Arabidopsis thaliana: one gene and its partners. The protein of the gene in region 2 interacts with the protein of the main gene of each other region in a biochemical or structural test. Each region holds a gene or a part of one and is shown on either strand. Other genes may lie near its edges.

Region 1 (3,639 bases), on a different chromosome or scaffold from region 2:
GAGGGTTCTAATTCAATATATGCTTCTTTCAATTAGGGAGCAGGAGGCATAACGATAAAGAAAACAGGACAGTCATGTGTGTTTGGGATCTATGAAGAGCCAGTGACACCAGGACAGTGCAACATGGTCGTCGAGAGGTTGGGTGATTACCTCCTCGAACAGGGTCTCTAGAATCTTCTTACAATGTTCCACCACCTACATTTTTTTATAAGGCCATTGTTTCTCCTATTTTTTTCCTTTGGGTGATTTGCATCTCTTTCTCTAATTGATATTATAAGTTTTGGGCTAATGGACCTTCCTGGTTTCTCCCCATAGCAAACTTTTAAGAAAGCTGAAGCCTAAAAGGCTTTTACTCTCTTTGCCTTGGTTTCTTATTTATATGCATGTTTTAGTTGTTTTCTCTTTGCTTTTTTGTCAATTGCATTCTGTCTACTACACTAAATATTAACGTATTGATTGAGAAAATTGCATTATCATAATCTATAGAAAATTGTATGTAGTGTAGTAGAGACATTAATCTCACAATACTAAAAACACTTTCAAAATTTACACGAGCATTTAACACATACATCAACACTCATTATTTACAACAGAAGAAAAAACTGATACGCAACGCAATCTTTCCTAGTGATTTCATTCGTAAGAAAGAAAAAATGAACATGAGAAAGAAAAATGGCAACAGGCAGAATTCATTCATCAACTTTAATCTTTAATAGGAAAGTAATAATAGTACAATTATGTCGGAAAATCATTCCCATCCCATCTGTCTTTATTATGTGCTAATCTAACAGCTCATCGAGAAATCGAATCTCAGTCTTTTTTCCCTATTATTACATTATCACTTAGATATAAGGAAATTTTTGTTATCTCACAATATTCACTTTGAATCAATACGATGCACATATAACAAATTAACAATAGCAAGTGATTGTTTCTCTTCAATAACTCAAAAACATTTTTTTTTTTTTTGGAATAGAAAAAGGTTTATTAACCATCTTTCTAAATTTTGGGTAATTAAGAAACATTTATTGACAATGACATTAGGAAAAGAGAACATTAATTGTAAAGGGTGGACCTAAATAATTGGAATATTTTGGTGTATGGCACACAATGCAAGAGCATATCCACCCTGTAAACAAATTATGGCCATACTTCGATCTCTTTTCTTTGATTTTGGAAATTAAATTCTCTAGTATTGTTTTTTTTAGAAAAGAAAAAAAAACTTTTGTATTGTTTATTTATGTAAACTTCATTTGTTCCAATAAAATCTAAAACGTTTTCACATTTGGTTTGACAATTTTATTTACACAAATTTTCAATATACTTTTAGCGTTAGATCAAATTATACCATGCAAGAATTATATGCATTTTCTATATGATCTTGTTTAAAAATAAAAACTGTAGAAATAATGTAAAACCCGAGAAATGAAATTGTTAATAGATTAAAAAAATCATTTCTTTTAACCGGATGCAAATTTTAATCATTTTAAAAATATTTTCTTTTGATTATCATTTTAAAATTATTTATCGACTTTCACACAAAACATTTTGAATTTCATTTGTATCTACTTTTTTTTTTTTTTTGGTATTTCTTTTAGCTGTCTTTATCAAATTCAGTAAATAAATAAAATATGTATTTTAATGGAATTTTTTGCAGTAGAAATTAAAAAAGAGTTTTTTTTTATTGGAAGGCTAAATCGTGTTATTAATAATTTAAGCTCAAAGGTTGTCCAAGTCTACAAACCAAAAGCACGCTACAGAAGAAGAGGAAGAAGAAGAAGAAGCAGAGACAACAAGAAGAAGAAGAAACAGTCTCATCTCGCCGGAGAAGAAGAAAGATGTCGTGGCAATCATACGTCGATGACCATCTCATGTGCGAGGTCGAAGGCAACCACCTCACACACGCCGCCATCTTCGGCCAAGACGGCAGTGTCTGGGCTCAGAGCTCAGCTTTCCCTCAGGTTTTTCTTCCTTCTTCTTCGCGTTTCTTCCGATCCTCTGTCTCAAATAAGTTCATCGATCTGATTCAATCGTCTGATTTAGGTTTATTCCTTGTGATCCGATCTGAGGAAACTTGGATCTGGTTTTGATTTGCTAGCTTCTGACTTGTTCTCTCTGACAATCTGATTTTCTCAGTGATTGATTGGAGTTTGATTCTGAGATTTTCATGGTTTCAGTAGTCAAATCTTGTCTATAGGTGTTTTGCTTGGCACAGAATCTTATCTCCTTTCAATTCATCAAATGATAAAACTTTTCACCAAATTCTTCAAAATTTGGTATTTTACTTGAATTTGAGATCTTAGGGTCATTGCATATGAATTGTCACCTCTGCTCAGTATTGTATAAACCATGTAAAGGATCTGTTGTATTGGTAGTAGTATCATTGCTCAGTCGGTTGAAGCTAATTGCCTACTTTGTTGTTCTTGTTCATGTATTTAGTTGAAGCCTGCAGAGATAGCAGGAATCAACAAAGACTTTGAAGAAGCCGGACATCTTGCCCCAACCGGGCTATTCCTTGGCGGTGAGAAGTACATGGTTGTCCAAGGTGAGGCTGGAGCCGTCATCCGAGGGAAAAAGGTAACATTTTTCATTCGAGAAGACTCTTTTTTTGTGGTTTTGATTGAGATAATGAATCAAAGGATCAGTCTTTTAGATCAGCAAGTTAAAGTCCATGCTTACTTCTTGCAGGGACCTGGTGGAGTCACTATCAAGAAGACTACTCAAGCTCTAGTCTTTGGTATCTATGATGAACCGATGACCGGAGGGCAATGCAACTTGGTCGTGGAGAGGCTCGGCGATTACCTTATCGAGTCTGGTCTCTAAGTTCACTCAAAGTGCTTCAAACAAATTTCATTTTTCGGGTTCTTTCTTCACTAGAGAAGCACCCTTCTGCCATGTATTGTGATTTGATTGTTGTTGTGCATCAAACAAAGTTATTATACTCTTAAAAAGAACAAAGAAACAATCATATTTGTTATGGTTTTGATCCTCTCCTATGATGGCTCTTATGTTTTTCTCTTGTACTGTATTTCGTAATGTATAATTACGCTTTGGAATAAAAATTTGAGTTTGTGATCATTTGTTCTCGATCAGCTCATAAAAATTTTCTAGGTTCAGTCACAAATACATCACCAAGCTTGACATTTCGGTTACGTGGTGAAAGAAATTACCAAGTTCAACAGTTGGGCTAAATTCTAGTTTAAGTTCGCTCACTACTCAAAACTTCATACAAAAGAAGGCGACAGTGCATTCATGTACACACTTGTCACCAAATACTCGAACAAACTACAAAACACGGCAACAAAACAGAGACTGCAACCACCATTTGTCTGAATGCTTCATTGGTTGACGAAGGCGAAGCCAAGGGGGAATCAATGGCAGTTATGTTTCCAGTGATATTACCCGCCATTGTTCTGTTGAATCTGCAAAAGTAACAACAACAACATCAGCAAGTAAGATTCGTTTTTCCAGTTCGATAGATTCAAGATTGAGTAATCAGAGAGAGAAGTCACCCGTCGGTAGCCGGAGCAATCATGTACAAACAGTTACCATAACCTGCAATTTCGAGAGCTCAAATGAGACTACTATGGCTTCACATTACTCTTAATGGATGTGTTTTGGAAAGTGTATGTATACAAA
Region 2 (5,049 bases):
AACATTTTCACGATATTTATAAACTCAGCTTAAATATGAAATTATTACAAAATATCTTTCTGGTTTTTAGGTGGGGCTGAAATGCTTCTAGCATGATAGATCAATTTATAGTTGAACCATGCATAAATGATTAAATGATACTATCAGACTCTTCAAAATTCTTTCTCTTCTCGTAAGTTGGAAATTAATAAAGGACAGTCAAAGATAAAGAATAAATGATTTGGAAATTGGAACATTTTGTCATGAAAGTGCGTCGAACCAATTTAGGCTTAAGCTCAAATTGTATATGAGCTTATTATAGAGGCCCATTCATTTTGTCAAAAAGAAATTTTTTTAAATATATTTTTTACTTCCTCCTCTGCAAACATGTAAACGTGGGACGAGTAGTCTTACTTGCCGTGTAAACTTAAATATTGGCCATGTTTGGTCCGTATCAATACAAGAAGTCAAGAAGAAGACGTGTTAAGAAAGAAATTGAGGAAACAAAGCGGTCGATGTGGAACCTTCCGTGACTCCAATTAGGGTTCTGAAACTTTTGGTCTCTCATGCATGACTCCAGTTATCATTAGTTCAATACCAATTCTAGTTCTTGACGACTCAAGTCAAGATCATTCAGACGGCCTTTTAAAATCTCTTTAACGTTCGAGACAAAGATAAAATCCTTTTATTTTTTCATAGAGAAAATTGTAAAAGAGGATAACAAAATAGAGAGAATTTGCTTTTAGGAATTTCCGATTGAATATGTAGTTGGTAAAGCCTAGTTTTATATAATTATATGTGGACGGAAAAAGATTCATTATCTCGCTTATATAAAAACATACCAATTAATTATAGTCTATAGTCACAATTCATCATATATTCTAGACTTTAAAAGTTGATTTTAGAATTTCTGAGAATCGAGAGGCAACAAAAAAAGTCTACAAATTTGACTAAGAAGAAGCAGGCACATCCGCCTTGACGAAGAAAACGGTTTGGTTGGGAATGATGGAGTTGACCGGTAGACAAGTTTCGTCGAAGAAAACAAAAAAAAATAGAAACACAAAATCGGGTTTAATTTTGCAATTTCGCTTCAGTAGAAGACTTGTTGAATTCAATAACAATTTAGTTTCGTTCGACGAGTGTAATAACGCGTTGAGCATTAATAACTATCGAGGGGCCATTAAGCATTAAATTACCATTTAATTACGAATTTTAGGGGTTGTTTCCTTCATCGTAGCTTATCAAATTACACACACTCATACGTTCACACCTTCCCATTTTTCCAAGAAAAAACTTGGTTCATATTTCTTCTAATTCATACGTTTTGTGATAGTATTTTCAACTTTTGTTTTAAAGTTTTTCAACATGTATTACCAATTCAATTTGGTAATCCACCATCATATATTTATATATTGCTCGAAAGATCCGGTAGCAGTTGAGTCTGTCTGACAAATTAAAACACTATTCACGATTTTTTTCTACAGTTTTACTTTAATCTTAAAAACCAATATTATTACAAATAACCAAGTCAAAGATAAGGTCAACCCCACCAGACAAAACTTAGTTCACGGCACAACAAGACTAAGCACTGAAGTCTTTGAGAGGAAGATTTTGAAAATCTCGTGCAAAGACTAAAACATCCTTCTTTACTATATATATCTTTCGCTCCACTACGAAGGTTATTTTCGTAATTCGACACAATTCCTTACAGAGAATAAGCGAACAGATCAACAACTACTCTGCTCTTACAGGCGACGACGTCAACAACAACCCAAAATACCAAAAACCCTCAAAAGTCTCAAACAAAACTCAAAACCCAACAATTAAAGAAACAACATTTCAATATACAGATTTACTTCCTTTTACAGATTTTCCTAAAAAACCGAAATTGAAACAAACAAAACCAAAAGACGTTACCTTTTTTCCATTGATTCCTCAATTCTCTAAACAAATGAGTTAATCTTCCATGGCTGCCATGTTGATGCAGCCATGGCCACCGTTTCTTCCTCATCTAACCCTAGTTTTCTTAACCCTAATCCTCTTTTTCCCTAATCAATCCTTTTCTCAATCCGATTCTCCTCGAAACATCGAAACATTTTTCCCAAATGACACAATCACCCCTCCAGTTCAATCTCCGGTTCTATCGCCGCCGCAAAACCCATCATCTTCGTCATCGGATTCAGACAGAGGAAATATCTTGAGGGCTGTGCTTATAACAGCAGCAAGCACTTTACTTGTAGCAGCCGTGTTCTTCTTCCTCGTCCATAAATGTAGGCGGAGGAGAAACAGAGTCGGTGGCGTTGACAACACCCTTCAACCACCGGTTCCTCCGTTGGCGGAAGCGGCTTTAGCTCGTGAAGGGTTTACTCGATTCGGCGGAAACGTAAAGGGTTTGATTCTAGATGAGAATGGTCTCGATGTGTTGTATTGGAGAAAGTTACAACAGAGTCAAAGAGATAATAAAGGTGGAAGCTTTAGGAAAGAGATCATCCACGGAGACGATGAAGAGAAGAATGTGATTTATTCGAAGAGTAAGAAGAAATCTGGACCGGTGACGGAGACTCCTCTTCTCAGAGGAAGATCTTCGACTTCTCATAGTGTAATTCACAACGACAATTACCGAAATGCCACCACCACTCATCCTCCTCATGTCAAGACTGATTCTTTTGAATTCGTCAAACCAGATCCAACTCCACCACCGCCTCCACCACCGCCAATTCCGGTGAAGCAGAGTGCAACACCACCACCTCCTCCTCCTCCTAAGCTTAAGAATAATGGTCCATCTCCGCCGCCACCTCCACCGTTGAAAAAGACGGCGGCTTTGTCATCATCGGCTTCAAAAAAACCACCACCGGCTCCTAGAGGATCATCTTCAGGGGAAAGTTCAAATGGTCAGGTAAAGCTTAAGCCTTTACATTGGGATAAAGTCAATCCTGATTCTGATCATTCCATGGTTTGGGACAAAATCGATCGTGGCTCTTTCAGGTAAGATCCATAAGAACCCTAATCGTTTCTTTCAATTTGAAGGGTTTAGTCAGATAAAAATGCCAACTTTACAAATTTGGTTTCTTCTTCTTCTTCCTACAGTTTCGATGGCGATCTAATGGAGGCTCTGTTCGGCTACGTGGCGGTCGGAAAGAAATCTCCAGACGACGGCGGTGATAAAAAGCCTAGCTCAGCCTCACCGGCCCAGATTTTCATACTTGACCCGAGAAAGTCACAGAACACAGCAATTGTGCTCAAATCCTTAGGAATGACTCGTGACGAGCTTGTGGAATCGTTAATGGAAGGTCATGATTTTCATCCAGATACACTAGAGAGACTCTCTAGAATAGCTCCAACGAAAGAAGAACAATCAGCGATTCTCCAATTCGACGGTGATACGAAAATGCTCGCAGACGCTGAATCGTTTCTGTTTCATCTTCTAAAGGCGGTGCCTTGTGCGTTTACTCGTCTTAATGCGTTACTCTTTAGAGCTAATTACTATCCAGAGATCTCAAACCATAACAAAAATCTTCAGACGTTGGATTTGGCTTGTACAGAGCTTAGGTCACGTGGCTTGTTCGTGAAGCTATTGGAAGCGATTCTGAAATCTGGAAACAGAATGAATGCAGGAACAGCTAGAGAGATGCTCAAGCTTTTAATCTCACCGCGCTTTTGAAACTTTCTGATGTTAAGAGTGTTGATGGGAAGACGACTTTGCTTAACTTTGTTGTGGAAGAAGTGGTTAGGTCTGAAGGGAAGCGATGCGTGCTTAACCGAAGGACTAACCGTAGCTTTAGCCGTAGTAGCAGCAGTTCGATCTCCGAGGTTATATCGAAGGAAGAACAAGAGAAAGAGTATCTTAGACTCGGTTTACCTGTTGTTGGAGGGTTAAGCTCTGAGTTCACCAATGTTAAGAAAGCTGCAGCTGTAGACTATGACACTGTTGCTGCAACGTGCTTGGCTCTTACGTCTAGAGCGAAAGATGCTAGACGAGTGTTAGCGCAGAGCGAAGGAGATAACAAAGAAGGAGTGAGGTTTGTGAAGAAGATGAATGAGTTTCTTGATTCGGTTGAGGAAGAAGTGAAGTTAGCGAAAGAAGAAGAGAAGAAAGTGTTGGAGCTTGTGAAGAGAACAACAGAGTATTATCAAGCAGGAGCTGTGAAAGGAAAGAATCCACTTCATTTGTTTGTTATTGTTAGAGATTTTCTTGCAATGGTTGATAAAGTTTGCGTAGAGATCGCAAGGAATTTGCAGAGGAGGTCATCAATGGGGAGTACTCAGCAGAGGAATGCGGTTAAGTTTCCGGTTTTGCCTCCGAATTTCATGTCGGATAGATCAAGAAGTGATTCGGGTGGATCAGATTCCGATATGTGAGTTTGCAAAGACCATTTTTAATCTTGATGATCATATTGTTTAGAGGAGAAATGATTTGCTTGGTTGTAAATAATAGAATCGTTTGGGGTATTTGATTATATTTTTTTCCTACAAAAAAAACTTTTTGAAGTGTTAATAAGATTTGATAGTCCGAGACTCCGAGGTATTTTTCTGCATAGTGTTCATAAGAACAGAGTATTGCAATTTGCACTAATTCATATTATGAATCAGTTTTAGGATCTTTGGTTACATTTTCACCAACCTAAAATCTGATGGATGAAACAAATTCAGCCCTTTTACAAATTTCTCAGAAGCAGTCTAGGTCAAGATTGCTAATGATTATTCTATTGTTTTTCATTTCTTGCCATGTCGTAAATTCCTGAATTTTTAGTTTTAGACTTGATAAAGACAGACCACGAAGTCAAGACTTTGAATAGACAAAGAAAGGTTGTTGATTTGAATATTGTTTGGTACAGTAAAAAAAAAAGAAGTCATTCTAACAAGTCGCAACCAATATTTACATCAGGAAAGAACAAAACAAGAAAAGCAAAAAATATTCTGCTGATTTTCTATGGTTTAACAACATTAGTACTCAGAGGGTGGTGCAGATCTTAACCACGATGGCTTATTCTGCTTGACGAGTCCACCATATTCACAGCTAGCTGGTCAAGTGTTTTACAACTTCACCTTCTGGTTCAAGGACTCACCAGA
Region 3 (2,938 bases), on a different chromosome or scaffold from region 2:
AAATAGTCATTCATAAAAATTTCTATAAGTGATTATACCTTTAAATTAAGTTATTTATCAATCAATTTATTTCATAAAATAATCAAATATTATATATTAATATAATTTTAATGCAATATTGTAAAACCAATCAGAATAAAACTACTTTGTGCAAAATCTGGATTTTACATATATCTTGACAAAACTTTTATTTAGGGTAATATGAATTCGTGCAAGATTTGGGTAAAATGATTTCGTGCAAAATTACGACAAAACCATGAACAATTTTTTTTTAGATACCACAAAGATTTAGAGAAAAGAATCTTATAAAAAGAAAAATTATCTTGCAACGTTTTTAGTAAAAATAATAATAACACAATCAAATATATGGAAATCTTATAAAAAGATTTAGATAATAATAACACAAAGATTTAGATATATGGAATCTTATAAAAAGAAAAATTATCTTGAAATGTTTTTAGTAAAAATAATAATAACACAATCAAATATATGAAAATCAAATATTTAATATGGAAAAGTCAATATCTAAAAGTGATAAGATATGTATAACGTTTTAATCAAAGGAGTTAAATAAGGGATATCATATCAATCATAAATGGATTTTAGACAATATAATATTTATAAAATGATATTGAATATAGATGCAACTATTCAAAACTGGAATGCTAAAACATTAATACATGCTTGCATCACCCACCACCGGGTTATGAATAGTTACAAAGTTAGTTATATAATTATAAAATTGGTAATTTATATATTCAATATTGTAATAGTAAATCACAAAAATTAACAATTAACAAGCATGATTCTCTTCTTTAACGATTTTCTTTGTAGAATCATTGAATCATGCGATAGTAATTATAGAAACAAATGATAAGCATTATTCTCTTCTTTATTGAATCATTGAAAACATGCTTTTACCGATCTATACTATAATCATCGATCGGCTCATATTGTTTTGTTTCAATAATAGAAAATAAGTACTATGAACCATGAGTCGATAAGTAAACATGGTTCTTAAAAAAAATGTAAGAATCTCTATATCTACCTTTTAGAACGTGCTGATAACGTGTTATAACCAGAGAAAGAGATAAAAGAAATGAGTGTGTTATTCCATTGAGATAAATGGTTCTTTATATAGGAGTACAAAAAAAAGATAAAACCCTAAAAACATCTAGATGATGGGTTTAGATGAGGGCCTTATAATGGACATCCATCTTTATTCATAACAAAAATCAATTATAATGAAAATCGAAACATTTGTTTTTTTTTAGGAAAAGACCATATTTAATTAAATGTTTTGGTTTTCCTTAAATAAGTTTTCTATTTTTTTATTTATTTCCTCCCTTTTCATTATAACTGGTTGATTTTCTAATACAATTTTCCTCTTTAGAAACTATTAAAAAGAGCTGTGTCTGGCACGTGTCAATCATGTATAAAACAATATATTTGCGTAAATGCCATTGCCACACACTCACTCACTCGTAGTTTCGACGCTATCTCTAGAACATTCCGATAAACCACAAAGAAGAAGCAGAGCAAAAGTAAAGAAGAAGAAGAAAACAAACATGTCGTGGCAGACTTACGTCGACGATCACTTAATGTGCGATGTTGCAGGCAACCGCCTCACCGCCGCCGCAATTCTCGGCCAAGACGGTAGCGTCTGGGCTCAGAGCAACAATTTTCCTCAGGTTAGGGTTTATTTCTATACCGACTACTCAATTCTTATCATCTTGCTGTTTCTGGTTTGGTTCTATGTTGAAATCTGCAACCTTTGGTTTTGTTTAGCTACTAAACCACCAAAATTCAGCAATTTTCAATGTTTGGTTTTGATTTTCTGATTCATATGTTCTTGAGGTTATAGAGTGCAAAAGATGCATTAGAAGAAGTTCGAATCACAAGTTTAAAGCTCTTTTAAGAAGAAAGTTTTGACCTTTGGAAATAGACAAGTTCTTTGTACTGGTTATGTTGTTCATAAGTTATTAAGTTGCTTTCATGAGATGTTTAAGAGAGACTGAATTTGTTTCTCTTATAGTTTTTGTATTGTTGTTGTTTTAGGTGAAGCCTGAGGAAATTCAGGGCATCAAAGACGATTTTACTACACCTGGAACACTTGCCCCAACAGGATTGTTCCTTGGTGGTAACAAGTACATGGTAATCCAAGGAGAGCCTAATGCCGTCATTCGAGGAAAGAAGGTAACTAGACTGTTTGAATATTGTTTGATTTTTGATGAACTGTTGTTGATTTTGCTTCCATTGTAGGGAGCTGGTGGTGTTACCATCAAGAAGACCACCTTAGCTTTGGTATTTGGTATCTATGATGAACCAATGACTCCTGGACAATGCAATATGGTTGTGGAGAATCTCGGTGAGTACCTGATTGAATCGGGGCTCTGAAACTTAAGCTGCTACTATATTCATATTGCTTTATGTAATCTTCTAGTTGTGTCGTGAGAGAAAAACTATTCGATAATCCGACTGTGTATTACCTACCTTGTGATGGATCTTGGGGTTGTATGATTATTTCTAAAACAATATAGTATTGTCTACATTTGTGTCGAGTTGAAATATTTAATGAATGGCAGTGTGGTACCATAGCTTTAGAGTTCATTATTGGTTATGCAGATTGAGATTTTTGTGTATTATAGTGAGGATGATTAAGATCACAAGACTGTGGTTACACAATTGATATCAGACAAGTTTTCAGATAGAATGTCTGTACAACGATTCCACTGCAGGAAGAAAGACAAAATCGTTAGACGGTGTCACAATTTCTAGACCAAACTATTCAGGAACAAATTTTGCTTTTTCTTGCTATTGCTACATTTCTTTCAGATTTCGGTTACAGTGCCTGTGAATTCATAGTTTGCAAACTGAAGAACAACGAGATCATGAGACAGAGTTTCAAAATCCATTGGAGTAGTTCGTTTCCACGTGG

The links.
Region 1: the proteins of FH4 (region 2) and PFN2 form a complex in vitro, tested with the Arabidopsis thaliana proteins (one study listed by BioGRID).
Region 3: the proteins of FH4 (region 2) and PRF3 form a complex in vitro, tested with the Arabidopsis thaliana proteins (one study listed by BioGRID).

What each region holds. Positions count from the first base shown.
Region 1 is NC_003075.7:14,448,297-14,451,935, forward strand, and holds PFN2 (profilin 2), read left to right. Parts: upstream 1-1,591; 5' UTR 1,592-1,838; coding exon 1,839-1,961; intron 1,962-2,439; coding exon 2,440-2,577; intron 2,578-2,688; coding exon 2,689-2,823; 3' UTR 2,824-3,098; downstream 3,099-3,639. Other genes in the region: PRF4 (profilin 4), read left to right, coding at 37-171; AT4G29360 (O-Glycosyl hydrolases family 17 protein), read right to left, coding at 3,266-3,422, 3,513-3,555. UniProt on the Arabidopsis thaliana protein: Binds to actin monomers and regulates the organization of the actin cytoskeleton. At high concentrations, profilin prevents the polymerization of actin, whereas it enhances it at low concentrations.
Region 2 is NC_003070.9:8,547,573-8,552,621, forward strand, and holds FH4 (formin homologue 4), read left to right. Parts: upstream 1-1,618; 5' UTR 1,619-1,945; coding exon 1,946-2,964; intron 2,965-3,066; coding exon 3,067-3,640; coding exon of another isoform or gene 3,641-4,338; 3' UTR 4,339-4,494; downstream 4,495-5,049. UniProt on the Arabidopsis thaliana protein: Might be involved in the organization and polarity of the actin cytoskeleton.
Region 3 is NC_003076.8:22,909,341-22,912,278, reverse strand, and holds PRF3 (profilin), read left to right. Parts: upstream 1-1,568; coding exon 1,569-1,691; intron 1,692-2,058; coding exon 2,059-2,196; coding exon of another isoform or gene 2,197-2,262; coding exon 2,263-2,397; downstream 2,398-2,938. Other genes in the region: AT5G56590 (O-Glycosyl hydrolases family 17 protein), read right to left, coding at 2,843-2,938. UniProt on the Arabidopsis thaliana protein: Binds to actin monomers and regulates the organization of the actin cytoskeleton. Can increase the critical concentration (Cc) of actin assembly in vitro.